Linked DNA regions of Elephas maximus indicus. The protein of the gene in region 1 interacts with the protein of each later gene in a pairwise test. Links are inferred from orthologs where the notes say so. Each region holds a gene or a part of one and is shown in the gene's direction. Other genes may lie near its edges. The genes, in order: VPS52, MFAP1, NFKBIB and DDX6.

Evidence for each region.
Region 2: the proteins of VPS52 (region 1) and MFAP1 interact in binary tests that used the Homo sapiens proteins (3 or more experiments, as listed by UniProt). The two-hybrid records come from large-scale screens. The link is inferred for Elephas maximus indicus from reciprocal best matches to the Homo sapiens genes VPS52 and MFAP1.
Region 3: the proteins of VPS52 (region 1) and NFKBIB interact in binary tests that used the Homo sapiens proteins (3 or more experiments, as listed by UniProt). The two-hybrid records come from large-scale screens. The link is inferred for Elephas maximus indicus from reciprocal best matches to the Homo sapiens genes VPS52 and NFKBIB.
Region 4: the proteins of VPS52 (region 1) and DDX6 interact in binary tests that used the Homo sapiens proteins (3 or more experiments, as listed by UniProt). The two-hybrid records come from large-scale screens. The link is inferred for Elephas maximus indicus from reciprocal best matches to the Homo sapiens genes VPS52 and DDX6.

What each region holds. Positions count from the first base shown.
Region 1 is NC_064819.1:96,065,594-96,073,443, reverse strand, and holds the start of VPS52 (vacuolar protein sorting-associated protein 52 homolog), read left to right. Parts: upstream 1-4,840; 5' UTR 4,841-5,099; coding exon 5,100-5,189; intron 5,190-5,308; exon of another isoform or gene 5,309-5,481; intron 5,482-5,970; coding exon 5,971-6,055; intron 6,056-6,218; coding exon 6,219-6,271; intron 6,272-6,452; coding exon 6,453-6,528; intron 6,529-6,713; coding exon 6,714-6,781; intron 6,782-7,088; coding exon 7,089-7,264; intron 7,265-7,628; coding exon 7,629-7,779; intron 7,780-7,850. Other genes in the region: RPS18 (40S ribosomal protein S18), read right to left, coding at 4,086-4,184, 4,683-4,685. UniProt on the Homo sapiens protein: Acts as a component of the GARP complex that is involved in retrograde transport from early and late endosomes to the trans-Golgi network (TGN).
Region 2 is NC_064828.1:12,257,180-12,265,130, forward strand, and holds the start of MFAP1 (microfibrillar-associated protein 1), read left to right. Parts: upstream 1-4,941; 5' UTR 4,942-5,104; coding exon 5,105-5,183; intron 5,184-7,951. Other genes in the region: WDR76 (WD repeat-containing protein 76), read right to left, coding at 998-1,399, 2,034-2,090. UniProt on the Homo sapiens protein: Involved in pre-mRNA splicing as a component of the spliceosome.
Region 3 is NC_064829.1:112,633,622-112,641,128, reverse strand, and holds the start of NFKBIB (NF-kappa-B inhibitor beta), read left to right. Parts: upstream 1-4,492; 5' UTR 4,493-4,590; coding exon 4,591-4,769; intron 4,770-7,507. Other genes in the region: SIRT2 (NAD-dependent protein deacetylase sirtuin-2), read right to left, coding at 3,275-3,321, 4,112-4,127. UniProt on the Homo sapiens protein: Inhibits NF-kappa-B by complexing with and trapping it in the cytoplasm.
Region 4 is NC_064835.1:11,249,153-11,256,369, reverse strand, and holds the start of DDX6 (probable ATP-dependent RNA helicase DDX6), read left to right. Parts: upstream 1-4,213; 5' UTR 4,214-4,293; intron 4,294-4,411; exon of another isoform or gene 4,412-4,533; intron 4,534-7,217.

The sequences.
Region 1 (7,850 bases):
ATTGCCGCCGGGATTCCTCTAGTCGCAGTCAGACCATTAAGTATGGTCTTTTTATGAGAATTTGGGGTCTGCATCCCACTGATCTCCTGCTCCCTCAGGAGTTCTGTTGTGCTCCCTGATAGGGCAGTCATCGATTGTGGCCGGGCACCAACTAGTTCTTCTGGTCTCAGGATGATGTAGGTCTCTGGTTCATGTGGCCCTTTCTGTCTCTTGGGTTCTTAGTTGTCGTGTGACCTTGGTGTTCTTCATTTTCCTTTGCTCCAGGTGGGTTGAGACCAATTGATGCATCTTAGATGGCCGCTTGTTAGCATTTAAGACCCCAGACGCCACATTTCAAAGTGGGATGCAGAATGTTTTCATAATAGAATTATTTTGCCAATTGACTTAGAAGTCCCCTCAAACCATGTTCCCCAGACCCCCACCCTTGCTCCGCTGACCTTTGAAGCATTCATTTTATCTCGGAAACCTCTTTGCTTTTAGTCCAGTCCAATTGGGCTGACCTTCCATGTATTGAGTGTTGTCTTTCCCTTCACCCAAAGCAGTTCTTATCTACTGATTGATCAATAAAAAACCCTCTCCCTCCCTCCCCCCTTCGTAACCACAAAAGTATGTGTTCTTCTCAGTTTTTACTATTTCTCAATATCTTATAATAGTGGTCTTATACAATACTTGTCCTTTTGCCTGACTCATTTCGCTCAGCATAATGCCTTCCAGATTCCTCCATGTTATGAAATGTTTCAGAGATTCGTCACTGTTCTTTATCGATGCGTAGTATTCCATTGTGTGAATATACCACAATTTATTTACCCATTCATCCGTTGATGGACACCTTGGTTACCTTTGAATCTTTAAATTTTTCCATAACCATGCTCCTGAGAAGTTGCTGTCGAGCAAAGATCTTGAAGGCTCTGTTTACTGACTCTAGATGCTAGCCTGCCAAGAGGTTAGGTCCCCTTTTCTCTGCCCCAAGATCGCTGTTCTCTTCAGGCCTCCTCTATCCACAAAAGTACACTGCAGTGACCATCACTTTCTCCTAAGGGCCTGGACTATGTAACAGTTGATAGCCAACTTAATCATTACACTTACCCTCTTTAAGGACACAGCCAGCACTTGGATACAAAAAGGTGGTTTTCCAAGGACTCAAGTCTGAAATTATTTGATCAACTAATTTAGTAGTCCGTATTAACTTGGAAACCCTGGTGGCATAGTGGTTAAGTGCTACGACTGCTAACCAAACGGTTGGCAGTTCAAATCCACCACGCACTCCTTGGAAACTCAATGGGGCAGTTCTACTCTGTCCTATAGGGTCACTATGAGTCAGAATCGATTCAACAGCAGTGGGTTTGGTTTTTTGGTATTTAATTTAGAATCTATTTCTACACTGGACAGAAAAGTTGTTAGTGTGCCTCATACCTGCATTTAAAAATAAACACTGAAGACTCTGAAAGTGTTCCAGGACAACTGGCATCTTGGTGGGACAAGAGTTCCTTGTGAACAAGACCCATGGGGACCTTCAAGTCAACTCTAACCCCTCCAAGTTTCCAAATACTTCCTGGATGGCAGCTATAATCCTGATGTAGAAGAGGGCAGAACACTAGCCTTAAAAAATACAGCAAAAAACTGAAAGTGGCAACAAAACAATGAGGGGAAAAAATCACAGCACAGAAAAGCTTTGCAGGATACACGCATACGTGTATGTTTCACCAACTGCCACTGAGATGGCTCAGATCCATGGCCACCCCATGTGTCAAAGTAGAACCGTGTGCTATAGAGTTTTCAATGGCTGATTTTTCAGAAGTAGATCGCCAGGCCTTTCTTCTGATGATGCTGGCTGGGTGAACTTGAACCTCCAATCTTTCAGTAAGCAGCCAAGCCCTTAACCATTTGTACCACCCAGGAACTAAACCAAAACCAAAAACAGTGCTGTCAAGTCGATTCTGACTCATAGCAACCCTACAGAACAGAGTAGAACTGCCCCATAGTTTCCAAGGAGCACCTGGCGGATGTGAACTGCTGACCCTTTGGTTAGGAGCCGTAGCACTTAACCACTACGCCACCAGGGTTTCCTGCAGATCTATATTGTTAGCTGCTGTTAGCTGGCCCCCCAACTCATGGTGACTTCACACACAAAGGAATGAAATGTTGCCCAGTCCTGCACCCTCCCTGTGACTGGTTGTGGATTAGACCGTTGTGATCTACAGGGTATTCATTGGCAGAGCAGTGGAAAGTAGATCTCCAGGTCTGTCTTCCTAGTCCATCTTAGTCTGGAAGCTCCACTGAAGCATGCCTAGCATCACAGCAACATGCAGGCCTTCACTGACAGGCGAGGGGTGGTAGCTGCTCGAGGTGCACTGGCCAAGAATCAAACCCAGGTCTCCCATATGGAAGTCAAAATTTCTACTACTAAACCACCAAATGCCCCACAGTAGATCTGCTACCTGTCAGTATATACCCTTTTCTTATGTTAACTTTCATTCTTCACCATTCTGGGGCTAACCACGTTTTTGAGGAACCCCTCCCCATACTCAGCCTCCCTTTTTCCTCTTTAATCTTCTCCCAATTTCCTAGAATTACCCCCAATCCCTCGTTCTTAATAAAGGACCACCTCCAAGCTTTAGGTCTGTCACCAAGAGGTAGCTGCCTTTCCTGGCTCTCTGCTAACAAAAACTTCAGTACCCAGAGATCTCTAAGGAACAGCCCTTCCCAATGATAGCAGGGCACCAGGATCCCATCCCCCTGTGAGACTTCTCTTCACATGCTAAATATCTGAAAATGGCTGAACAATTGTCCATGAAATCTAATTCGACTACAAAGATTATGACACACATTTAACAAATCAACTGCAAAGATGCAGAGAGTGAAGAAGCACCCTACTAACCATGCTCCGCTTTTATATTCACAAACTCGCTTATGGCTCACAGCAAGGCTTTGCAGTAAGTATTCAATCTTTAGGGTATCTTACATTTTCAGAGAATATCAAACAGAAGCTTTAAGCTTCTTCTGTATTCAACTGAAGCAGCTCTGTTAAAAAAGAGTGGTTAAGCTGCTTGGCTGTGAAGCAAAAGGCTGGCAGTTTGACCCCACCAGCCACTCAGTGGGAAAAAAATGTGGCAGTTTGGTTCCTTAGACATTTACAGCCTTGGAAACCCTATGGATTGCTGAGTCGGGATAGACTTGAGGGCAGTGGGTCTGGTATTCAATTGAGAACAAGTAAAAGCTGCTCTCTGTATGAGAGTGAAAAAAAATCAAGGAAATTTGACAAACTCGATGGTCGTCAGGACCAGTCGGGACACCCCCTCTGTCACCGGAGGCGGGGGTAAGGTATCCCCAGTACCATCCATTCCCTAACACTGAATAAGCCTCAACAATACACCAGAAGTAGAGGACTGTAAACAAGACTGGCTTGGCCCTGTTCCCTCTGAGTTATGGGTACTGCAGGGCAAGAAACACATTCAGCTATTTGTACAAGTAATTATTCTATAAACGATAGAATGTCCCCAGCCAGAAGGCTGGATGAAAGTAGATATCCAAACCTGCATTTAATTCTTTCAACAAGCCCAAACCAAAATATACTGGGGTTCCCTTTTCAGCTGGAAAGAACACTGACTTTCACCTCCGACAACTGAGTAAATATCCTGCTCAGGACCTAGTGATGACCCTGTCCCATGGATATATTCTTTGACACTTGCAATCTGTTGGCACAGCTACTCATTCAAGATGTGTAAGAATTATAAGGTTTTCAGGGTGTATAAATTTAACAGGAAGGGCTGTTGTTATGATGTAGTGGAGACAGAAATCTCAAACTGAAGGTTCAGAAAACAGCTTTAAATAACTTTAGCAAATTCCGGTCGACAACCATACCCAGCCTTTTCACTCTAGTGAAACGTTTTGGCTTGACCTTAGACCCTTCTCTGGCTTTTATTACTCACCTTTTGTGGTAAATGTGGTTAAGGGATTAATCACTCCCCTTAGCTTTTTTTTTTTTTTAAACCCAGCAGCCAACGTGATCTGGTTGCCTACTCGACCTTGCTCATTTATAATTTAGCTCTTAACAACCCAAATCTCATTTATAATCTTTACTTTACCTTAATGGCAGTGATGGCAAAGGCTATCTTCCGCCGCCCATCGATGTTAGTGTTGAGTACTCGCAAAATGTGCTGGAACTTCTCGGGGATCACCAGAGACTGATTGAAAGAGATGGGGGGGGGGATCAGACACTGTGAACTACCGTCAAACCGTAAGACGAACGAACCACCTCAAACAGGAACGCTAAGTTTGTCACATAGGGAGCAATGACCCACTCCACGTTTTCACATCACCGCAAACTCCTCATTCCTGCAGACAGCAGAATCATGAACCGTTCAGGCCTAGGGATATGCAACTTCCGGAAAGGGGACAGGTCCCCTGCCGACTCCCAAAAGCATATTCTGCGTAGAAGCTGCCGGAGATCCCCGCACACGCCTAAACCTCTCCCCGCTTTCGTGCCTCCAGGGAGTGACCCTTTCCCGGGTCCCGTTTCCCGGAATTGGAAGTCTTTGGTCATCCATTCTCAGGGGTGTAATGCAAGGCTCCACACAGAAAGTTGCAGGCCCCTAGGATAGGGCGTTTTTGGCCCTCTGAAAGCAGACGTTCCCTGCCCCGGTTCCGATGCAGCCAGATCCCGACCCGGACTCTAGACTTACCATGGCGGCGGTAGCTTCGGCGGCGTGTAGGCCTCCGGTGGAAGAGAGAGCGGAAGTGACGCCAAATACTTATATAGCTCTCTGGTGGAAGGGGCGGAGCCATCTGGAAGAAGCGCTTCCTGAAACGGCTTCACCCCAAACTGACTAGACTTCTGAGGAGCTGACTTGGACGCCACAACTTCCGGTGGTGTCTGCTCTTTACTGTCCGTAAAGTTCATGGGTGTGGCAACAGCGAAGATTCCGGGACGAGGCTGTATGTGAGACTTCCGCACTCTCGTTTGTGCTTAGGTGAAGCGGTTACAATTGAAAGGAGTTAGACAGTTTAACTCATTTATCTGCGAACGGGTTTGCGTTGTGCAAGGCTCTCTGGAACGGACTTGCCCGGACTGACAGCTGCCGGAAGTGAGGCTGCGCCTAATGGCCGCAGTTGCGACCATGGCGGCAGCAGCTCGGGAGCTGGTGTTGCGAGCCGGCGCCTCGGATATGGAAGAGGAGGAGGGCCCGCTGGTGAGAGCGCCGGGCTGTTTTCCTCTCCGGAGCTCCATCCGGGCCTCCTAGCGTCAGGAAGTCCCGGGCTGGGTGTAGGCACAAAAGGGTGGGAGCTCGGCTGCTATCGGTAACGCTACCTGTTTGGCTTCCTGGGATCGGACCTGAACCTGAACGAAAACCAGAGTAGCCATGACTCAGTTTCCAGGGGCACAATTTCAACTCCTCCCGATTTGGGGCAGAACAGAGAAGCCTCTGGAGCCACACAGCCTGGGTTCGAATTCCAGCTCTGCCACCTACACACTGTCTTTGGGCAAGTTAACCAGCTTTTTCTATGAGATGACGAAAATAATAGTATCTGTCGTATTAGATTGTGAGGATTACGTGAATGAATATATGTAAAACGGTCCCTGACATGCACTTAAACAGTGTTTAAGTTTTAGCTGACTTTTCTAGAAAGGCTCGGACTCCCCAGAAAGATGGTGATACGACATGTGAAATAGCAGGAGTCTAGGACTCCTAAAGTCAGCTGCAAGATCTGCCCAATTTTTGCAGCTTCTCATCTTCCTCAGAGACCTCCTCCCTCTTCATGGATTACATGCTTCCTTTGCCATATGTCCTGTCCATAAATCCTAAATAGTAGGTGGGGTACAGAGTGAGACTCTCGGAGGTTTTTGACTCAGCACTTACTACTCCCCAGTAAAAGAACCTCTCTCCCACTTGGAAGATTGAGGACGTCCTATTGTATTTTGTTCTTTTCCTCCTCCTCGTACCCCTCTCTCGGTAATTTTTCCCTTCCCAGGGGAGTGGTACTGGGCTCCAGGAGCCACTGCAACTTGGGGAGTTGGACATCACTTCTGATGAATTCATCCTGGATGAAGTGGATGGTAAGTGATGGCATGGGGCCTCTGCAGAGCTGGAAGTTAGAGTGCCTGTAATCTAAGGTGCAGCAGGTGCCAGAAGGAGTAACACAGAGACTGGTGTGCAGATACTTAGTGTGGGGGGTGAGAGCTGTAGATCCGGGCTCTTATGATAACTTTCTATTTCCAGTTCACATTCAGGCAAATCTGGAGGATGAGTTAGTAAAGGAAGCTCTTAAAACGGTGAGGCTTTCCACTGTACTAATCTGCTCCCTCATCTCCCCTCCCCCCAAAGAAAAGAAAAACAGTCTTCTATTCTCATGACATGACCGTGGTGTCCCACTCTCTAGCCCTTTGTTGATTCTGTTCCAGTGATTCTTTGTTGCAACTTAGTCCTGACCTGTCACTTTATATGTCTTCCTAGGGTGTGGACCTCCGTCACTATTCAAAGCAGGTTGAGCTGGAGCTACAGCAGATTGAACAGAAGTCCATTCGAGATTGTATCCTCCACCAGAGGGCAGGAGTGGTGTTATTGACAGGGATTTTGTCGGGTATGGTGCAGGCAGCCCAGCTAGGGCTGAGATTTCCCTGAGGTTTCTGTCATCTCAGGGAGAAATCAGAGAGGTTCTGCAGGTCTGAGAATCTCCATATTCAGCATGAGGCCCCTTGACTTTTTGTGGGTCAGATATCCAAGAGAGCGAAAATATAGCATCTCTGCACAACCAGATCACAGCCTGTGATGCTGTCCTTGAGGTTAGTAACCATGGCCTGTGACCCATAACAAGCATGAACTGGTCCAAGACTTTTGGTGCCATTTTTAGTCATTGACCTTAGGTGGAAACAGGTTAGAGTCATTTTCAGGATGACCTCAGCATCCTTTTTCATGGTCATTTCCATAGCTGATATTCTTTCCGAACGGTGACCTTTGGGATACTTCTCCCCTCATCACCCCCCACCCTCACAAACTGATAGATACTAGAGATTTCACCAAGAGAATTAAATGGCCCACTTGTCCCCTACCAACCCTTTGGTGCTCCAGCAGCATTTACTCTCTCCCCAGCGCATGGAGCAGATGTTGGGAGCTTTCCAGAGTGACCTCAGCTCCATCAGCTCTGAGATCCGGACACTGCAGGAACAGTCAGGAGCTATGAACATTCGTCTTCGAAACCGCCAGGCAGTTCGGGGGAAACTTGGGGAGCTTGTTGATGGTCTGGTGGTGCCCTCTGCCCTGGTCACGTGAGTCGCCAGTCTGAAGGGTCACAACATCTATGGCAGCTAGAGACTTACCACATGGGTCTTCTGGGTCCTGGTCATCAAGCGCCTGCCAGAAGTTGGTGGTTGGATTGACAGTCTTTTCTCACTGCGATATGTGCTTTAGGCATCAAAGATTAGGAGTCATCTAGGGTCAGATGTGTAGTGAGGAGGTTCGAGGCTTACGTGGAGAGTCTAGAAGCAGAAAACTGTACATACAGCCTGACTGCATGTTACAGTGTAAGAAGGTACAGCAGGCAGAGGCTGGGTGTAAGGGGTGTGGTTTGGGCGTAGTCTAGGGATGCCTGGGTCTCCCACCTAACCCACCTTGCTCCTCCCTGCTACCCAGGGCAATTCTGGAGGCCCCGGTGACAGAGCCCAGGTTCCTGGAGCAGCTGCAGGAGCTGGATGCCAAGGCAGCTGCAGTCAGAGAGCAGGAGGCTAGGGGCACAGCGGCCTGTGCAGACGTCAGAGGCGTGCTTGACCGGCTCCGGGTCAAGGTGGGGAGTGGGGGTAGATACCCAGAAACTGCTAGAACCAGGCTCCCTAACACCTTCACCCTGGATTCCCT
Region 2 (7,951 bases), on another chromosome or scaffold:
CAAATTCAGTGCCCCACCCCAGAATTTTTGAATCAGAAAGTCTGGGGGGTAGGGCCCAGCTATTGTGTTTTAACAAGGCCTCCAGCTAATTCTGATGAAGGCTAAAGTTTGAGAACCACTCATCTATTCCAACCCCCTCACAGTAAAGGTGATTTCCCCTAAAGGCATAAGGTTCCTTTCTAGTGGCCCCGCCTAGGAGCCCAAGCTCCCAACCCCCAGTTCAACTTGCTTTTGAATTAGCCCACAGGCCCCACCCCAGGCCCTGGCTCTTAAACCTCCAGGACAAAAAAGCATAAATCTACCTCCTGTGGCAGAACGACAATACTTCCATGATCAGTTTCCTTTCCCTATCATCATTTGCTGTTTTCTCAGTTCCATCAATATTTTGTCATGTGGTGGTTTCACCTTGTCCTGAACTAAATTTGTCACTTTGAACAGAGCATAACACTCCATAAGTAAGAAGCCACAGGAATTAGATACTTAATTCCTTAAACTGATCCGAAATATTATTTTAAACAGAAGAGGTAAGGGTAAGTGTTCCTCATATATCTTCTCTACTCCATATTTTGTCTCCTTTTTGAATATTAAAGGAAATATCGGGGGTCGCTCAAATGTCCTATGTTCCACAAGCCGACTTCTGATACACTGCATAAACATGTAAAGATGAGCAAGGCACCATAAAGAATGTGTAAACACAAATAATATATGCAATAAATGACAAATGTTTTTATATATTTTTACAAGAAAAAAAAACAGTAAACTGAGAGGGGATAAAGTGAAGCAGAGAAAAGATTAAGTCAATTGTGTCTCTGACACACCAAAATCAAGTACAAAATTAACCCAAGTTATTAGTTAAACATTAAAAAAATTTTTTTTCAATTACACTTAAATCAGATAAAACAATCTGAGCTGAAGAGACCGTTGATAGCCTTAGTTTATCAGAACTTCAAATTGCAGAACAATAAAACTTGGAACAAGCTACTAGTTAAGTTCCTACCAGGCCTGATGTGGTTTCTTCCTCACTGTCCCCGTCCTGGCCACTTTCCACATCAACACTGACGATCACAGCATCTGAAGTGCTCTGGTGCTGTCCCCTGTTACTCTCAGGATGAACATCTAAGGACGACTTTTGCAGACTGGATTCTGCCCTGGAAGATGTGGCTTCCATCTTTGGAGTTAAAATCCCTCTGCAAGTTTTCTTTATTTCTGTCTTCTTACACAGCGGCACATCGTTAGAATTCTTTTCTAATAGTGATTTGGGGTGCTTAACTTGGTCTAGCTTGTCATTACTGAGTGAAAAGGCAGCCAGGTGAACTTTAACTGTTTTTTCTAAAACTGTCCTCGGTATGGGTTTCAGAGACACGTAAGGGATGTTTTGATTTTCTTTATATTCATTCACCTAATCAGGTCAATAACAGAAAGGAAAACAGTATTAAGAATCTCAGGTCCTATGACTTTTCTTCTCTTACAGATAAGAAACAGACATCAACAGATGTCTGTAAACTTAATTTCAATTTTATGATACCAACAGAAATCCAAACTCATAGCCTATAAGGTAAACCTCCAAAATCTAGACATCTCCTTCACTTAACTAAATAGAATTCCGGGGCACATTTCCTGTCCATACAAGTTGGCCAGGCCAGTAATAACAACGACTACCACCTATAACTGAGGAGCCCACCCCAGCTGTCAGCTTCCGAGGGTGCAGCCGGTAGCAGAAAGGGAGTCGCTAATCTGGCCCTGACACTACTGCATTTGTAGGGTTACTGATAAGAACCTTTCTCAACGCAGAGGGCCTAGCTCTCTATGGGGGAAAATCAGGGCAGGAATCCCCGCTTATTTTTTTGAAGCAACATCCTGAAACACCCAGCAAGCGGGGAGCTGCCTCAAGGGGCGGGAAACAGTTTTGGAGTGGAGAGGTGTCCCGTGCCAGGTCCCCGTGCCCTGCCGGGCCTCTGCCTGGGAGATCCTTCATGAAGACCCGAAGACTGCGGCAGAACACCGGGAAGGGCCAACCCGTTTCTCACCCTCACCTGGGGTCGCAGCCTGGAAGCCGCCTTCTCGTCGGCCGCCGCGCCGGACCCCGACATCTTCCCGCGGCTCAGCAGCTGGAGCCTTCCCGCCTAGAGCGCGGCGGGAGTCGGGGCCGGGCGGGGCGTGGGCGGGGCCGGGGCGGGCGTGGGCGGGGCCGGGACGTGGGCGGGGCCTGGCGGGGCGTGGGCGGGGCCGGGCGGGAGAGGCTGCAATCCCCGTCCCGCGGCGCTGCCTGGCTCATCCCGCAGCTGGCCTGGAGTTTCTGTAAGCAGGCTGGGTTACCCGCCTCACTCCGAGATTCAAAATCTTTAGAGATGCAGTAGGAGCTAATTAACATTTTTACCTTGGATCCCGGTTATTTTGATGTTCGTGGTGCCGGACCCCCTTTGAAAAACACTGGCACTTTTCTACTGAGGAAAAACCACTTTGCCTTGCAATGTGAGACTGGAAAAGATTCAGACGCACTTCAATTCCCTGCAGAATGGAAGAGAAAGGAAGTCGAAATCTACACGCTGCTTTATCTCCGCCCACCTGGCTCCTGACCCTACCACCAGAGAATCGTGCCCTACTGCTTCTACGGAAACGTCTTCCTAGGAAGGGAAGCATTTTAGTTTTGTTTCAAAAGCTGATAAATTTGTTTAAATTTCACCTTCTGACCATCTGCCCACCTGTTAACTAAGACTTTAAATAGCCTAAAGTCTGCAAAAAAGAAGTTGTGAATCAAATAATTTGTGTATCACAAAATAGCCAAAGGCGATTTTAGCGCCCGCAATTTCTTACAGTCGCAGCCATATTAAACTTTTTTTCTATTCTCTGGGTTGCTGTGAGCTGAAACAATTGCCTTCCCATCAGATTTACTCCCTCTGGACAACATAATTTTTTGAGCTGGTAAATACAGTATAAAAGTCTGTTTATTATATCTTCAAGCCCAAAACTGTACCGTTGGTTAGTTACTTGTGTCCTCCACTGTTCCTTGTTTGAAGCTTGTCCAGTATTATTTTTTCCTTTCAGCCTAGGCCCAATTTTAGAACCTAGGAGAAATAATTTGAGAATTAGCCGTATTACTTAACATACCTTCAAGGCCCTCCATGCCAGACTTTCACCAATCCCTGACTCTAAAATTACTAACTGGTAAAACCAAACTTTATATACCATGCTATTTCTGGCCTTCAAGACTTTGTTCATGTTGCCCCTTCTCTCCCTCACCACATCATTTATAAAGTCCTTTTTATATGGTAAAATAAGCAACATCATGATAAATGGAGAAAAGACTGAAGTTGTCAAAGATTTCATTTTACTTGGATCTATAATCAATGCCCGTGGAAGCAGCAGTCAAGTAATCAAAAGACTCATTGTATTTGGCAAATCTGCTGCAAAAGTCCTCTTTTAAAGTGTTCAAAAGCAAAGATGTCACTTTGAGGACTAAGGTGTGCCTAACCCAAGCCATGGTGTTTTCAATCGCCTTATATGCATGTGAAACCTGGACAATGAATAAGGAAGACTGAAGAAGAATTGACACCTTTGAATTATGATGTTGGCAAAGAATATTGAATATACCACGGACTGTCAAAAGGACAAAGAAACCCATCTTGGAAGAAGTACAGCCAGAATGCTCCCTTAGAAGCAAGGATGGTGAGACCTTGTCTCAGACACTTTGGACGTGTTATTAGGGGGGACCAGTTCCTGGAGAAGGACATCATACTTGGTAGAGAATCAGAGAAAAAGAGGAAGACTCTCGACAAGATGGACTGACACAGTGGCTGCAACAATGGGCTCAAGCATAACGATTATGAGGATGGTGCAGAACCCGGCTCTGTTTCCTTCTGTTGCACACGGGGTCACTATGAGTCAGAACCGACTGGGAGGCACCTAACATGGTAAAATCTGTTCTGACTTCCAATTAGCCAGGTTTTTTTTTCACATGACCCAGCTAGAAAATTGGGACTGCTTTGTTGTGATTCCAGAAGTCCTTGAAGACTTCCTAAATAGAATTCAAGCTCGAGGATGCGAGCCCTTTAACAATTCTCCATGCTCCTTATAGAGCACTAAACCGGTGAGCACAGCAAGTTAAAAAGCCAGTTGCGGTGGAGTTGACTATGACTCTTGTGACCCCATATGTGTCAGAGTAGAACTGTGTCCATAGGGTTTTCAGTGGCTGATTTTTGGGAAGTAGGTTGCCAGGTTTTTCTTTTGAGGCACCTCTGGCTGGACTCAATCTCCAACGTTTTGGTTACCAGCGAAGCATGTCAACTGTTTGCATCATCCAGGGACTCCAAACACAGCAAGTACTTAATTATTGACTGACCAACATATATTTTTTTAGCCAGAAATGTATTTTCAGAGGTGGTCTTCATAAACTGAAAGAACGTGAAAGGCTAAAACTGGAGTTTTGAGATTTCAGGCAAGGAGGCCTCTTGGAGGAATTTCATTTATTTCCTTTTCTCTTTTATCATTTATTACTTTTTTGCCACTGGCCTAAATCACCAGCACCTGCCATCTTATGACCTAAAAATGCCGCACCACCGCCCGCCCTGGCCTCATCAGTAGAGCTGATCAGGTGCTATTATTAACAGGATTTCTATTCCGATCCAACCCTAATCCTCTGAGCTTTCAACAATATAGACAAACAGCCCCTCATTATCTCCCCCGTTTCTCACTCATCATTATACTATTCCACAGGCTTCAAACCAAACTAACAAGCGAAACCTTTAACTTGGACCTCCGTCGCCGCTGGGCTTCGACCATACGCCAAAGGAAGCGATTTCCCGCCAGAAGCGGCTTCCAGAAGCGGCTTCCAAATGCTGCGAGACTGAGGACGCCAAGGCAGCCCGGGCACATGCGCAGTAACAGACTCGACCTTGTAGGCGAAAGCGCTCAGACGTCCTCCAGAATCCCACAATCCTCTCCACACATATTTCCGGTTTGTCTAGCTCAGGCGTAAGAGGTTTTCCAGTCGTCGCGCAGCAGTGGCCAGTGGAGCTGGGTTGGGAAGTATCTTTTCTGTTCGTTGACGCTGTCGGTGTTCTCTGGAGTAAGTGAAGTTTAAGGAGTCACCGCCGCTGCCATCAACATGTCGGTCCCAAGCTCACTCATGAAACAACCGCCTATTCAGTCTACGGCTGGGGCCGTCCCAGTCCGCAATGAGAAAGGTACTGTGCTGAGACCCTTTACAGTCGTATCTTACCTCTTCCTGCCCCAGCATCTTCCAAACCTACCCCTGGCCGATCGCTCCAACCTCCCCTCCTGCCGACCCTTAACACCTCGTCCCCGGTTTCTTCAGCCTTACCCTAAGCTCTCACCCAACCGCGTTGCCTAGGGGAAGAGAGTGGGGAACCCGCTTGTGTCTGATTTTGTTCCCATGGTTTCTTTGCTCTCACAGCATCCCACTTCCCCAGACCTCCACCAGTTCGTTAGACTAATGTATATTGAGTGCCTGCTCTTTGCAGGGCGTTGTGCGAGTTACAGTCCTTCTTTTGTTCTCCGTAGCAACATGTTTATGCTTTTAGAACTTACCAATATAGTTATTTATGTGTCTATCTCTCCCTGCTATTAAGCTCCTTGAGGCAGGAACCATGCTTTATTTCAACTTTTTATCCCTTTCAACCAATGCAGTGCCGTGCTTATTAAATTGAATTCAAAGTTGTGTAAGACAGTGCTCCTAATCGTAAGGAACTCATATTCTAGTTCTGTCTAGGTGTCAGACATGCAAAAAGGACGCACATTCTAAGTTGTGTATATATGGCCTTTCAACCTGTGATACCTGTCATAAAAAACCAAACCAAACCCGTTGCCGTCTAGTCGATTCGGACTCATAGTGACCCTACAGGATAGAGTAGAACCGCCCCATAGGATTTCCAGGGAGCACCTGGTGGATTTGAACTGTCGATCTTTTGGTTAGCAGCTGTAGCTCTTAGCCACTATGCCACCAGGGTTTCCACCTGTCATATAGGTGCTATAAACCATGTGTTGTGGGAAGGCAGAGGAGAGATCACTTCAGACTAGGGAAAACTTTCTGAAGAAGGTGGCATTGAAGTTGAGCCATAAAAAATGGGTAGCATTTCAATGGGTGCAGATGGAAGAAGGAACAACATACCTGTTTGGGGAGTCGGAGTTTTTTCAGTAAAGATGTTGGAAAATAATACCAATTGTTTCTTTTTGTTTTTAAATATATACTTTTTTTGTGTGCAACATGGCATTTGAAAATTATCCTTGGGACACATTAGATGGCATTCATTTAACTGCTTGTGAACTCCATTGTATAATTAAACCAGTTTGTCCATTCCCTGCTGAGGGACAGTTAGTTGTGTTGTTTTTCCTCCTATTGCAAAAATTCTGCCATTGTCATCCTTAAACATGTCTCTTCAGTTCACTTGTATGAGAAGCTTTCTTGGGTAGACTCTTAGAATTTCTTCATCAACTTTGCTACCTATTGCCAAATTGCTTCCAAAGTCAGTTGTAAGAAAAAAGTTTGTTTCCCTGTGTATTCATTCACACACTTGGTTGTATCAGATTTTTAAATTCGTACCCAATCTAACAGGTGCGAAATGGTATCTCATTTTAATTTGCATTTCCCTGATTCCTAGTGAGGACAGGCATCTTGTTCATGTTTATTGGCTTTCTCGGTTTTCTCTTCTATGAATTGCCTGGTTCTATTTGGTTGTGTTTTTATGCATTCCAAACCTGTAATGTATTTTTTCCTTATTTTTTTGCTTTCTTTTAAAACTTAAATTATGGAGTCTTCTGTTTTAGTTTTTTTGTTGTTGTTGTTGTTTTTAATTGTTCTTTAACTGAAAGTTTACAAATCAAGTCAGTCTCTCATACAAAAATTTATAAACACCTTGCTATACACTCCTAATTGCTCTCCCCCTAATAAGACAGCACATTCCTTCCCTCCACTGTCTCTTTTCGTGTCCATTTGGCCAGCTTCTGACCCCCTCTACCCTCTCATCTCCCCTTCATACAGGAGATGCCAGCATAGCCTCATGTGTCTACTTGATCCAAGAAGTTCATTCTTCACCAGTATCATTTTCTATCCCATTGTCCAGTCCAATCCCTGTCTGAAGAATTGGCTTTGGGAATGGTTCCTGTCCTGGGCTAACAGAAGGTCTGGGGACCATGCCCGCCGGGATTCTTCTAGTCTCAGTCAGACCATTAAGTCTGGTCTTTTTATGGGAATTTGGGGTCTGCATCCCACTGCTCTCCTGCTCCCTCAGGAGTTCTCTGTTGTGTTCCCTGTCAGGACAGTCATCAGTTGTAGCCGGGCACTATCCAGTTCTTCTGGTCTCAGGCTGATGTAGCCTCTGGTTTATGTGGCCCTTTCTGTCTCTTGGGCTCATAATTACCTTGTGTCTTTGGTATTCTTCAGTCTCCTTTGCTCCAGGTGGGTTGAGACCAATTGATGCATCTTAGATGGCCACACAGCTTTAGTTTTAATGTAATCATATTTATTAGTTTTATCTTTTATGTTTTGTACTTTTTTGTATATTGTTTAGGAAATTTTTCCCTACTTTGAGATCACAGATATTCCAATTATAAAGGTTTTCTAACATGTAAATATTTGTATTTACTAAATAGGATTGAATACACAATTATACAAGACAGGCTGTATGTTAAGGACCTTACTGTCCAGTAGGGGATATAAATGTTTAAGATACATCTTTCACTTTTAAGTTTTCAGTCCATCTGGAATTGTGCATGTGTGGTGAGTTAGGGATATGACTTTACCTTTTACCTTAAGGTTAACCAGTTATCCCTACTCCATTGATTGAATAGTCCATCCATTTGCTGGTGATTTTTAATGCCAGTTGTGTAATATGGAAACCCAGGTGGCATAGTGGTTAAGTGCTACGACTGCTAACCAAAAGGTTGGCAGTTCCCATCCACCAGGAGCACCTTGGAAACTCTATGGGGCAGTTCT
Region 3 (7,507 bases), on another chromosome or scaffold:
GCGGCCTCCTGGACACCTCCCTGTGGATGACCCCCAGGACCCTCACTTCTCCTGTGTCCCAAACTGGCCTCAGCATCTCCCCCAAATCTGTCCTCCTCCTGGACCTCATCTCAGGGGGCCTCACCTCGTCCTGGGCACCTCCCGCTTCCTGCCACAGCCCACCTGGCCTCTTGAGCACCATTTCCACTTCCCCACAGCTCCACCTGGTCCAGCCTGTCCTCTCGGCCCAGACCTCGCCTTGCATCCTCCTGACCTCTCAGCCTCAGTCTCCACTTCCCATCTCCCCTCCACGTGACGGCCTGCCTGGGCCCTGGCCCGCTTCTGGCTACTTCAAAGCCTTTGTCTGTGGCTTCTCCAGTCACTCAATCCTCCACGAGGGTGGGAACTGGATCTGCCACGTTCACCACTGAATGCCTGGCACCTAGAACATGGTCTGGTGCCTGCCAAGAGTTCCAGAACTATCCACCACTGAACGAACACCTGCTGTGTGCTAGACCAGGGCTGGACCCTGTAATGATTCCCCAAAACACAAATCTGACCACCTCACTCCCCTGCTTAAGACCCCTCCCACAACTCGCTCCCCTATCACTCACTGCCCTGGCTCTAAGCTTATTTGAATCAGAACCTCCCCTTCCAAATGACAGGGCTTACTGCAAGGCACTGACCAAGACATAACGATTTACTCTCCTTGAATAACTTTAGCTTCCCCTTCCTTACCTCCAATGCATACTGGGTCCCCCAAGATCCAGGTGCCTTATGACAGAAAAAAAAAAAATTCTGCGCAAACAGGCCCTAATCACAACCGCGGTATAATATTCACCAAAAAAAAAAAACCATTTGCTGTCGAGTTAGTTCCAACTTGTGGTGACCCCATGTGCGTCACAGTAGAACTGTGCTCCACAGGGCTTTTGATGGCGGAGTTTTTCAGAAGAAGATTGTCAGGCCTTTCTTCCAAGGTGCCTCTGGGAGGACTCGAACTACCAACCTTTCAGTTAGCAGCCAGCACATTAACCTTTTGGACCGCCCAGGGACTCCCCAGCATCCCCCTTAACTTTCTTTTGAAAAGCTCACAGTCCTGCATCTCAGAGGGCTGGGGGTCAGACACAGTCCTGGTGTCCCTGTCTCACCCTTAGTGCTCCCTCTCCTCCCACTACAGTGCTCCATCCATCCAGTTTTGTATTTCTTTCCCCTCCCCTTGCAACTTCCCTTTGAATCAAAGTCACCCTCGCCATGTTTTAACACTATCTGGTATGATTCTTTCTTTGACACTTTTTAAGATTACACAAGCTTTGCAAAAACTTTGAAGGTTAGAAAATGTGTAACTTGGGGCACTTGCCTCATGGTTCTCTCTCCCAGGCCCCATCGAGATAACCGCTATTAGTTAAGTTTTGATGTTAATTATGCCAGCTTTCTCCTCTACATGTAAACGTTCACTATTTTGATAGAAATGGGTCAGGCCCTAGTCTGAGGCTGCACCTTGCAGTTTTCCAGAGAACAGTACAGTACAGACCCACCTCCTCCTTTTAAGCAACTGCATAGCGTCCCATTGTATGGACGAACCAGTTCATTTAACTCATCTACTGACAGCCATTTGAGCTGTTTCCAGCTTTGCCACACTGCAGAGACAATGCTGCGATTTACGTCCTCCATCTCTCTCGGGGACTGAGGATCCCTTTCTAATACTAAGCCTTTTTCTCTGGACCCCACATGACAGCAGTGGTGCTTTGGGAGCTAGGGGGGTTTGAAACCCTGGCCTGAGGGGAAGCTCTCATACCCTCAGTGTCACTGTGCTATGCCTCTGTGAGGTACTTTAATCCCAGCATCTACACTGGTCTACATCTGCAAAGCCATCTCGCATCTGTGGGTGGGCTGGAGACAAAGAGGCTCTGTGGGAGGACTCCAGGGCCCTGCCCAGCCAGGGGCAGCTTTGCCTACAGGGGAGGTGGAGGTGCTGGCGAAGTCTTCCAGCCTCCAGCTTCTAGGAGGCGGCCCTGTCGTCTCAGTGTCTGGAGGGCAGTATGCTGAAGGTCTTGAGTTCCAAACCCTTTCCTGCTCTTCTAGCCAAGGGACAGAAGGCAAGTCTTATCACCTCTGCCCCAGATACCCCAGATACCTCAGATTCCTCATCTACACAACGGGCGTGTGCCTCCCAGGGATATCGGGAAGGTTAAACCAGGCGATGCATACAAAGCACTAAACAGAGTGCCTGGCACAGAGTAACCAAAAAAACCCAAACCCACTGCTGTTGAGTAGATTCCAATTCATAGCCACCCTATAGGACCGAGTAGAACTGCCCCACAGAGTTTCCAAGGAGCGCCTGGCAGATTCAAACTGCCGACCTCTTGGGTAGCAGCTGTAGTACTTAACCACTATACCACCAGCGTTTCCAGCACAGAGTAAGCACTCAATCAATGCTAGCCATGGATATAATTATTCGACCATTCCTAGCCAAAGGAGCCCTAGTGGTGCAACCGGCCAGTGCTCAGTGGCTAACTGAAAGATTGGGGGTTCGAAAGCATGCAGTGGCTACCTGGGAGAAAGACCTGGCAATCTGCTCCTGTAAAGATTACAGCCTAGAAAATCCTATAGGACAGTTCTACTCAGTCACATGGGGCTGCTACGAGTTGGAATCAACTCATGGCACCTAACAACAACCATCCCCAGCCACCAAACTACTGAACAGATCACAGTCTTTCATGCCTCCAGGTCTTTGCACAAACTACATCCTCTGCTTGGAACACCATTTGTCACCTTGTGTAGGAACATTCTAAGCCAGTCTTCACCGACTACACTGTGTCTATATCTCAATCTGACTCCTAGGCCAGCCTGTGGATTCCTCCAGGGAAGGGGCTAGGTAGAGTCTGTGATCCCACAAGGCTTACTCCCACAGTGGCCTGAGATACCTCCATTATTCCCTTATAGACTCATTTTCTAGTGATTTTTCTGTGAGAGCCGTGAGTTCAGGGACCAAATCTGATGTGTGTCTCTCCCAGGCCCAGTACAAATGAGGTTCAGAAGGGATGGGGGGAAGAGGGACAAGGAAAGAGGGAACCTGGGAGGGCAGGCCTGGGACTGGGGTAACACACCCTTCTCTGAAAGTCACCAGAATCCACCATTCCCCAGGAGGCTGCACCCTGGGTGGGGGAGAGGGCCTGGGGCAGTGAGCTGGGGGCCCTAGGGGAACTGGTTTCCCTCTGCCGCCTCCCCCAGTGTGGGATGTAGGAACAAGTCCATCTGTCTCCTTCCCTCCATTCCACCCTTTACCCCATCTCACCTGAGCCTCCTGCACCTTCCCTGCCTGGGTCTCCAGAGGGTCAGAGGCTGGGGGAGGAGGGGAGCAGACATGGTTACAGCAGGGGGGGATGGTTAAGGGGGAATGAAGGGGTTAAGAGCGGGAGTAGGGGGACCCAGAAGACCCACCGACCTAGTCACACTGGGGTAAGGAGTAGAGAGGAGGGGATGAGGAAAAGCTGATCATATTAGAGTGGAGATTGCTGGGAAGGGAGGTGGCTAGTGAGGGACAGAGAGGCAGGGGAGGGACAGGTTTAGGGGGACAGAGAGGAGAAAGGAAGGGATACAGGGTGTGGAAGAAGAGTTAGAAAGAGTTAGAAAGGGCACAGCCGTGTGTGTGTGTTGAGGGGGTTAGGTTTCCAGGGTGGAGGGAAATTTAGGAAGAAAGGAGGTAGGAAGGGATACCCTGGCTGGGAGGCGGGTTTGGGAGAGGAGGTGCGGTGGCGGTGGTAGGTTTAGGAGAGGTACAGGAACTAGAGGGAAGAGATAGGAGGGAACACCGGGGCCGCCTAGCATCATACAGCTGCCCCTAACAACCAGGTACCCTTAGCAACCGGGATCGCGGCAACGAGGGTCCTTAGCAACGAGGGTCGAAAAACATGCGATTATCAGTAACACGGTAAAGTGACCCTTAAAACCTCGCGACCCAGAAACCCAACAACCTATCGACACAGAGCATTTAGCAATGGCCCTTCAAATTCCACTCCCCCACGCAGCCTCCACCTCCTGCCCCACCGCGCCCGCTCTCGGGCCCCAGGGCCTGGATCACGAAACCAGGCCCCGGTGCGGCCCGTCCCTCCCACCAGAGCCCTCGACTCACGGTCCGGCTCGGCCATGGGCGCGGGGCCGGGGCCCTCGGGGCTGTCACCGACTGCTCTGTCCCGTGACGGCACCGGAAGGGGGAGAGGCAAGGAAGAGGCAGAGAACTACAACTCCCAGAAGCAATAGCGGCCGCAGACAAGCGATTCTCTCAAAGATCGGAGCGCGTCCCTCCGGATAAGGAAGGTACACGAGAGCCGGACTACGAGTCCCAGAGGGCCGCGCGTCGGCAGCCATGTTGGTAAAGGGCGCCCGGAAAATGTGGGAACAGGTCGAGAGCTGTAGTCCATTCCGACACTCTGATTGGTCTTGGTGCGAGATTGGGCGGGACGTGAGCGATTTAGCCCACTCTTATTGGAGACAGTAGGGGGAGTGTTGGGGAATTCCCCGCAGGGCGGAAGCTCCAGAGGTCCGGGCACAGCCCAGAGGCAGGCAGGCTGGCGGAGGGCGGCCTCTGGGGTCCCGGAGGCAGAGGGGGGCATGGCCGGGGTCGCGTGCTTGGGGAAAGCCGCAGATGCGGATGAGTGGTGCGACAGCGGCCTGGGCTCGTTGGGTCCGGACGCAGCGGTCCCCGGAGGACCGGGGCTGGGCGCAGAGCTGGGCCCGGGGCTTTCGTGGGTGCCCCTCGTCTTCGGCTACGTCACTGAGGATGGGGACACGTGAGTGAACCTTAGACTCCCGAACCGGCCCCAAGGATCCAACCTCGGATAAGATCAGCTTTACCTGATACCCCAGTGGTCTGATCCGGCTTTCTAACCTTTACTCCTAAATCTGACCTCTGATCCTTGACTTCCTGACGTCTAACTCCCAAATCCTAATCTTTAATAAATCAATCTATCCAACTTTGATCTTAACCATATATGTGTGTGTATATATATATATATGTAAATTTTTTTTTTAAACCCAATCATTTTTGACTCTCCTTTCTTGAACTCTTGATTCTTAGTTCCTGGAATCCACATCCCTAACCCACTGATCCCAAAACCCAATTTGACCTCATGTGGCCCGAGACCTCTAACCTCCTGACCTCTAACCTCCAGACATGGTCTTTAATCCTTAATTCATGATTTGTAAGCCTAGACTTTGATTTCTGACATTATAGTTGGCCCCTGACTCTAAGGTCCTGCCTCTGGAGCAGTAATTTTCAAATCTTTCATTCAGAGAGAGATTGTAAGCTCCATGAGAGCAGGGATTCATCCATTCAACAAATATTTATTGAAAACTACCATGTTTTGAAGCCCTGGTTGCATAGTGGTTAAGAACTTGGCTGCTAACCAAAAGGTCAGCAGTTTGACTCCACCAGCCGCTCCTTGAAAACCCTATGGGGGCAATTCTACTCTATCCCATAGGGTCACTATGAGTTGGAATTGACTGGATGGTAGTGGGTTTTTTTTTTTTTTTTTGGTACCATGTGCCAGGCCCTGTTTTAGATGCCAGTGATAAGGTTATGAAGAAAACAGACAAAAAGTTATGTCCTTATGGAGCATACATTCTAGGTGGGAGAGCTAGACAGACAGAAGGTCAGACAGAAAGAAAGACAGGAAGGAAGGAAATAAAAACATAGTCTATCAGAAGATAGCAAGTGTTACGGAGAAATAGCAGGAAAATGAGACAAATAGGTATCTGGAAAGAAGAGAATTGCAGGCAGAAGGAATAGCAGTCATACAGGCCTGGGGTCTTTTGTCAGTTTTGTTTATTGCTGTACCCCAGTGACTTGGACAGTGCCAGACCCGTAGTAACCAACGAGTTGCTGTGAAGTTGGTGCTGTCTCATGACAACACCACGTGTATCAAAGCAGAACTGTGTGCCACAGGGTTTTCGATGGCTGATTTTTTGGAAGTAGATCTCCAGGCCTTTCTCCCTAGGTGCTTCTAGGTGGATTCAAACCTCTAGCTTTTCGGTTAGCAGCCAAGGATGTTAACCATGTTAACCATTTGTACCACCCACCATCTCCTAGATCCATACCAACCAGTTGCCTTCAAGTCCGTTCCAACTCACGGCAACCCCATGTGTGTCGGTAGAACTGTGTTCCACAGTATTTTCAGTGGCTGTTTTTTTTGGTTTTTTAGAAGTAGATCTCCAGGACTCTCTTTTCCTTGGCAGTTAATAAACATTGGCCTTCTCAAAGAACCAGGTTGTTTTTTCATTAATTTTCCCTGTTGTTTTTCTGCTTTCTATTTCATTGATTTCTGTTCTGATCTTAATTATTTCCTTTCTTCTTACTTTAGTTTTAATTTATTCTTCTTTTCCTAACTTTCTAAGATAGGAGCTGAGCTTATTGACTTGAGCCTTTTCCCTTTTATCTGATACAGGCGTATAGCTGTATAAATTTTCCCCTTACTACTGCTTTAGTGGAAACCCTGGTGGTGTAGTGGTTAAGTGCTGCGACTGCTAACCAAAGGGTTGGCGGTTCGAATCCGCCAGGCATTCCTTGGACGCTTTATGGGGCAGCTCTACTCTGTCCTGTAGGTTCGCTGTGAGTTGGAATCGACTCGACGGCAGTGGGTTTGGTTTTGGTTTGGTACTGCTTTAGCAATATCTCACAAATTCTGATGTGTTGTGTTTTCATTTTCATTTAATTCAATATGCTTTCTATTTCTCTTTTGATTTCTTATTTGACCCTTGGGTTATTTAAAAGTATGTTGTTTAGCTTCCAAATATTTGGAAGGTTTTCCACGCTTCTTTCTGTTAACAGATTTTTTAATTTGATTTCATGTGGCCAGAAAACATACTTAGTATGGTTTGAATCCTTTTGAATTTATTGAGACTTGTTTTATGGCCCAGAATATGGTCTGTCTCGGTAAATGTTACATGTGTGCTTGAGAAGGATGTGCGTTATGCCATTGTTGCAAGGAGCGTTTTCCAAAGGTCAGTTGGGTCAAGTTGGTGTATAGTGTTTTCTAGTTTTGCTGATTTTCTGTCTACTTGTTATACCAATTATTGAGAGGGGTGTATTGAAATCTCCAACTGTAATTGGGGATTTGTCTGTTTTTCCTTGTAATCCTGTTGGTTTTTGCTTTGTGTATTTTGAAGCTCTGATATTAACGGCTCTACTCTGATAATAAAATACTCCAGCTTTCTTGTGACCAGCGTTAGCATGGTATATCTTTTCCATCTTTTAATTTTTAACTTATTTGTGTCTTTATATTTAAAGGGCATTAAAAAAAATTTTTTTTATTGTGCTTTAAGTGAAAGTTTACATATCAAGTCAGTCTCTCACACAAAAACTTATATACACCTTGCTACATACTCCCTATTGCTCTCCCCCTAATGAAACAACCCACTCCCTCCCTCCACTCTCTCTTTTCGTTCCATTTCGCCAGCATCTAACCCCCTCCACCCTCTCATCTCCCCTCCAGGGAGGCGATGCCAGCATAGCCTCAAGTGTCCACCTGAT
Region 4 (7,217 bases), on another chromosome or scaffold:
ACCCTGTAAGGACAGAATAGAACTGCCCCACAGGGTTTCCTAGGCTATAATCTTCAGTATGGGTTACACCTCAACATTAAAAACAAAAACAAAAAACAAAAAAAACAAACCTTATAGCTGGACCAGTAAGCAACATCATGATGAATGGAAAAAAGGCTGAAGTTGTCAAGGATTTCATTTTACTTGGATCCACAATCAACACCCATGGAAGAAGCAGTCAGGAAATCAAACGATGTATTGCACTGGGCAAATCTGCTGCAAAAGACCTTTTCAAAGTGTTAAAAAGCAAAGATGTCCCCCTGATGACTAAGGTGCACCTGACCCAAGCCATGGTATTTTCACTTGCCTCACATGCATGTGAAAGCTAGACAATGAATAAGGAAGATGAAAAAAGAATTGATGCATTTGAATTATGCTGTTGGGGAAGAATATTGAATATACCATAAACTACCAGAAGAACAAACAAATCTGTCTTGGAAGAAGTATAGCCAGAAAGTTCTTTAGGAGCAAAGATGGTGAGACTTTGTCCCATATGCTTTGGACATGTTATCAGGAAGGACCAGTCCCTGGAGAAAGATATCATGCTTGATAAATCAGAGGGTCAGCGAAAAAGAGGAAGACCATCAATGACGTGAACTGAGACAGTGGCTGCAACAATAAGCTCAGACATAGCAATGATTGTGAGGATGGCACAGGACAAGTCAGTGTTTCATTCTGTTGTACATATGGTCGCTATGAATCGGAACTGACTCAGCCGCACCTAACAACAACAATCTTTATGGAAGCAGACTGCCACATCTTTGCCCTGCAGAGCAGCTAGTAGGTTTGAACTGCCGACCTTTCAATTAGCAGCTGAGCACTTTAACCTCTGCACCACCAGGGCTTCTTCATTTTATAAATACTAAAGTAAAAATATTTCCACTCCTAACTTATTGACATGGTCAGGTTCCAAAGACCAGGTCATTATGGGAAAATTAGCCTTATGCAAAAATGGATGATAACCACATCAGATCACAAAATATTTTGTGGGACACATATGTCCCTCCAGACCCAAGAGGCGGAAAATGTAGGTGAGCACTATCTGTACCATTGGACAAGAAAGGGTTACTGCCAGACGTACGTCATTAATTCACAAAATAGACGGGTAGATTTTTTACTGTTGTCGTAAATGCAATGTATCAGATAATGAGAGAGTTGTTAACTGAGGAGTAGGCGTACGTTGTATAAAGTATAATTATACGTATGCCCACCCACTGCCCTCGAATCGATTCCAACTCATAGCGACCCTATACGTATACTTACAGTCTATACAAAGTATAAATACTTTAAGAAAACAATACGGTTGCTATGAGTCGGAATCGACTCGATAGCAATGGGTTTGGGTTTATGTACGTTAGCAAATAATTTGTATTCCTAAGGTATCATTTCCTATGATTCTTGTTAATCTGACCTAGGGATAAAAAAGGTATTGAGATAGTTGGATCTAGCAACCATAAAATTGAGTCCAGAAGAAAAGATACAAGGATTCAAAATTAATTCTTTACCATCCACGCTATTTCACCAGAAGACTAGAAAGAGCTGATCTGGGGAGTCCCTGGGTGGTGCAAAGTTAAAGCGCTCAGCTACTAACCCAAAGGTTGAAGGCTTGAGTTCATCCAGAGAAGCACCTTGGAAAAAAGGCCTGGTGATCCTTTGAAAAATCAGTCATGGAAAACCCTATGGAGCACAGTTCTACCTGTCGCACGTGAGGCTGCCGTGAGTCAGAGCAGACTCAATGGCAACTGGTTTGAGGGCATGGTGGTTCAGTGGTAGAATCCACAGAATTCTCACCTTCCGTGCAGGAGACCTGGGTTCAGTTCCCAGCCAATGTATCTCATGGGCCCCCCGTCAGTGGAGGCTTGTGTGCTATGACGCTGAACGGGTTTCAGCCAAGCTTCCCAACTGAACGACTAGGAAGAAAGGCATTGCAATCCACTTCCGAAAATCAGCCAATGAAAACCCTATGGAGCACAAGGGATGACACAGGAATGGGCAGCATTTCGTTCTGTCGTGCAGAGTCGCTATGAATGGGGGCCCACTCAAGGGCAGCAGACAATAACAGTGGTACTAGGCTATTTTATAAAAACATTAAGCAGAGTCTTTAAAGCTTTTAGCCCTGGAAGGGGAGCTGCTTCATACTCCACTTTGGTTGCCTCTTCTCTTTTCCTCTTTTTGTCATGACTTCAATCAGCCCCCTTTGGAAGGTAACAGTTTATTTGTGGTTGCAAACCGCTTTCCTTTGCCTGATCCCATTTCTTGAGTGGCCTACGGAGATCCCACCAGGAAGTGACCTCCTGCCCTTCACATTCCTACTAATCCTGGGAAAGATAATGAGGCAAACAAGTTCTCCCACGTTATCATTTTAAGAAACTACTTAGCTATTCTCTTCTAGGATAGGCACAAGGTGCAAGGTTATTCCCTTACATAAGTGGGTGTTTTAAAATCTGTGTGAGAAATGACATGCTACAAATTTAGAATTTAAAAAATTGGAAGGGGAACCTTTTTCAGGAATAACCTTCTACACTTCTTCGTTTCCATTGGCTGTGTGGAAATAAAGACCAACAAATGAGAACAAACGGGCTGTTCATCCAGAGCTTGCTATATATAGCAAGGCAATCAACCATCATCTCTTGATTTGGTAGAGACTCAAAGGCAGGCAGGGGAGTAAGGAAGCTTTATAGTGAGAACAAGGTTAAGGTTCAGGTAGACTCTGAAGGTTGTTGGTTTAGGGAAGCTAGAGGCGGGCTAACTACAAGCGGGGGGCATCTTATGTGATTGGTTTGGGGAGCATATTTGGCTTTCTCTGATTGGTTCCGAGTTGGAAGCGGGCGAAAAACAGGGAAGCTGGCGGTCATTGACCGAATGCTGACCGTTCTGGGCCGATTGCTGCAGAGGTTGTGGCTTGGCTTCCTGAGCCTTGTTGCAGAGGTTGTGGGTCAGAGTTCTGTCGTATATGGTCTGGCCACTGTCCCCTTGTATATTCAGTCTCTTAGCTGGGTGAGACCCAGGTTTTTATTTTCTCTTGACCTAGTTAGCTCTCTAGCTCCAAATTTTTGTTTTACCTAAGATGAGACTGCATTCTTGTTATTTCTGTTAAGGATAAATGGAGACATCAGGGTCGTGTATAGGAAAAGTAATTCTGGGAACAAATACATTACTTGTCTTTGTAGCGAGGGTCAGGCACGAGAAAAAAGCATTCGCCGCCTTCTGGTTCCTCATTTCCTCACAGAACTACTTCCATTTAACTGACTCATCAGAAGCTTTCGCGCTTCTCTGGGAGAGCTCTGGCCTCCTCCGCTCCCTCTTCCCTGGAGGGCTGACGATTAGAGCCGACAACGCAGGATCGCTGCCCCTGTCCACGGCCCGCGCCCTCCGCGCCGTCTCCGGGACCCGGTAGCCCAGCCTCCCACTTCAAGGCTCGCTCCCCGGCCCCGCCGCCGTCCGCGCCCGGGCAGCGGCCACCTCGCGCTCTCCGGGGTCGGTCCCGGCCCCTCACCCCTCAGCAGCGCCTTCTCGGTCCCTTTCCGGCCCCCACCCCAGGCGCGCGCCGGCGCCTCCGGGACTCCCGCTCCGCGCGTTCCTGGATGGAGGCGCCCCCGGAGGGGCTCGGGCGCGGCTCCTTGGGTCCAGCAGCAGGCTCCCAGACCATGGGAGAAGTCAGGCCAGCTATCCGGTCCCGGAGCCACTGTCCGAACAGGCCGTTCTCGGAACGTGTCTTTGGTCAGGAATAAGCAGATCCTCGTCTGGTCGCAGCCCCCGATTTTCACTTTTGAGAACCCAATAAAACCCACTGCCGTCGAGTCGATTCCGACTCATAAGAGGCAAAGGGAGAGTGGACTCTTCCCACCCTTTATTACCCAGACATCTCCTCAGCTGAGGAAAAAGTACCCCTCCTTTCTCCTCAGAAAGGAAACTATTTCCCCTTCAACTTCTCTCCACCTGGACACCCGCTGGTCCCCCAGTCAGTGTGGGAGAACAGTCCTCCGTTTTTTTCTCAGGGGGGCTCCCCGGGTCGCCTTTCTCCTGCCGCGAAGCAGGAGAGGCCTTGACCCCGCCGTGGGCGCAGCGACGGCTGCCTGAGCTCTCGCCATCTTGAGTGGAGGAGGAGCCGCGGCCGCCGCCATGCGGAGAGACAGGGAAAGAGGGCGGGAGGCGGCGGCGGCGGCGGGCGGGAGAGGGAGGGGGCAGGGGAGCCGAGTTAGCTCAGCCCGGGCGGCGACTTCGGCGGCTCCGTGGGAGCGGGCAGCGGCAGAGGTAGGGCTGGACTGGCCCGGGGAGCCGGGCCGACGCGGGATGCTCAGTAGAGCGGCCCCAGGAGCGGGGCGGGGGCAGGAAGAGGCAGAAGCGAGGGGGCCGGGCGGGGGTGGGCGGAGGTTTCCGAAGAGGAAGGAGCCGCCGCCATTTTGGGAGCTTCGAGTCAACAATAAAGGACTGAGGGTGCCGAGCGGGAGTGGCCTCGGTGGTAGGACGCGGGCTCGAGCCGCGGGGAGCGGGGTGAGGTGGTGGGGTCGAGGTCTGACGGGCCACTGGGGCTGCGGAAAGCTTTGAGCCCGGCGTGGGGGGCGCTCCGAGGCTGAGGCCTAAGGCCTGGTCCGGCCCTGGGGAGGAAGGCGGGCAGCTGCCAGCAGCTGTGTGGGACGGGGGCGCCTGAGAGGAGCAGAAATAGGAATGTCGTGCGCGGTGGGGTCCAGATACAGAGCGGCCGAAGTACTCGGAGGAGATGTGCAGTGGATGATGAATATGGAACTGGAGGGAGCGGCAAGGACTAGGGGGGTGGTGGAGGTTATAGGGTACGCGGCGGCCCTATAGGGGGCGGCATGGAAATGCCGGATTTAAGGGCCCTGTTAAAAAGAGGGCCAGCAGTTGCTTGATTGGGATGGGGCTTTTAGATCCATAACAAGAGTGTGTTTGTGGAGCCCCCGAGTCGTGGAGGAAATGAGGGCCTTTCTGAGTTAGGGGTATCACTTTGAGGCCTTATGGAGGGAGTCTCTATTGTTTCCAACCTTCGGAGCTGGTTCCTGGCTCATGTTGCGCAGATACGATTGCAGGGCCCCAACCCTTTTGTGTATATGGCCAGAGGAAGCTGACTTGAAGTGTGTAAGGGACTGAGGATGCGGAGAACGTAGATCAGAAATTATTGCCTCACAAAACGGGGCTCGTATCATTGGCTTGCCTCTTTCATTTCCCTCTCATTCCCTTTTCTCTTCCACGGTCTCCTTTTCCCCTCAGAATAAAACTCACTACAACTTGCAGATCTAGCATACCGAAACTGCGCTGCGTTTGCAAACAAAAGCTCTCGTTGGAGATGACAATGATATTTTGGGTGTGAAAGTGTCAGTTGCTAACTACAACCTGAAAAGTGCTGTAGTTAACTCCACTAGCGGCTCCTCCCAACTAGTTTACGTTTCCTTCGTATTTTTGAAAACGTAGAAATACAATTTGCAACACTAAATTGGGAAGGGCCAGAGGAATATTTTCTTCTCTGCAGTGCAGATTTCAGTTCAATTAAGAGGGGAGCAGTTACCACATAGTCACATTTTGGATCTGGAGAGAACAGAGGTCCTGTTGTTTATAATGGGTAGTAGTAATATCATTTAATCTTTAGGGGTTGCCCTCTTCATCCTCTTAGTGTCTTGCAGACAAATGAGTCTCCCGGTGTGAACTCGGTGATATTGTTCATCATGATAATATAAACCTCCCAAATCAGGAAACCATTTACTACCTTGAAACTGAAATTAGGTGGCTGTTAGCCATGGTCCGCTTGAGTGGTCAGACAGATACAGGGAAACGTAGAAATATAAAGCTCTGTGTATGAGATAATTAGGATTGGCTTGTGAGCAACCTGATTGTCAATTAAAAAAGGAAGACAAAGGAGCATTTTATAATTTCAAATTTGAAAACCCATGATGTATGGCAAAAATAATAAGTCCTGATTAATAAGTTAGTGTATATTTGGTAAGAAATGTAAAGGAGTTAAAAAAAAAAACAACAGCAGGCCTTTGTTTTCTGGGCTTTGTAATTAAGTTTTTATTTACTAAGTTTTTAAATGCAGTCATGTGCCGCATAAGGTCCATTCAGGCAGTGTTGGACCACGTATCCGTCTGTGGTCCCAGAAGGTTATAATAGAGTTAAGAAATCTCGATTGGAGAACCGGACATAGGGAACAGCTTCGTGGTGGCTGTTCAGTCAATATAGGTAACACTACAGCATCCCATATGGCTTTGCTAAGTACAATCAGTCCCTGGGTTGCGGACGCCCAACCTAGGAACTTCTGCTTAACGTACTTAACGTACAACCTGTAGTTTTGAACCTACCCTGTAAAGCCTATTAAAAATTCGAGGTAGACACAATGGTTCACAATAACAAATGGGTGCTACTTTGCCTTGCGCATCAAAACAACCCATTGCCGTCAAGTTGATTCCTACTTTATCATGTTAAAGACGTTTCAGTGTATCTGGGAGTTTTTTTTAAATGTTTTTCATGCATAGAAACGTACACTATATACATACTAAGACAAGCATTCGACTAACTGACGTTAGAAATGAACCGTACCTGTTATGACTTAACATACAAATTCGACTTAGACATAGGAACAGAACTCATTTGTACTCTGGGGACTGCCTGTATATAATACGGTGTTCACACAACATCCAAATCACGTAGTATTCTATTTCACAGAACATATTGTAAACCTTAAGCAACCCATGGCTGTAATTCGATTTTGGGAACAGAAGTTGAAAGTAGTGAAATTTGACTAGTTCTTTTTTAAAACAAATAATTAGTACTCTGGGTTTCTTGGAAGGGTTTGTTAAAGTCACTACTGTGCTTAGCTGTTCACAGATTTACTCCTTTTACACAGGAAATTTTTTTGTGTATTTTTTTAAATCTATTTTTGAACAACAGGACTATTTTAAATTAGGGCATAGTTTTGGGAAAAAATGTTATATTAAAATGTAGCTAATAGTTTTTTAGTATTCAGATTTTATTAAAGTAGTTAAAGATTTTCTTGGCTGTTTTTCAAAGATGCAATTTTGACATGCAGACAGGTCTGTGTCCCGTGATTTCTTCAGTCACTATTTTAAGGGGCAAAAGCTTAAGGGAAAGAGGAACGTACATTTTTCTTTGGAAAGTTCAGTTTCTGTAGTTGAAGTTCATAAGGGCACACAGTGTTTTTTCTG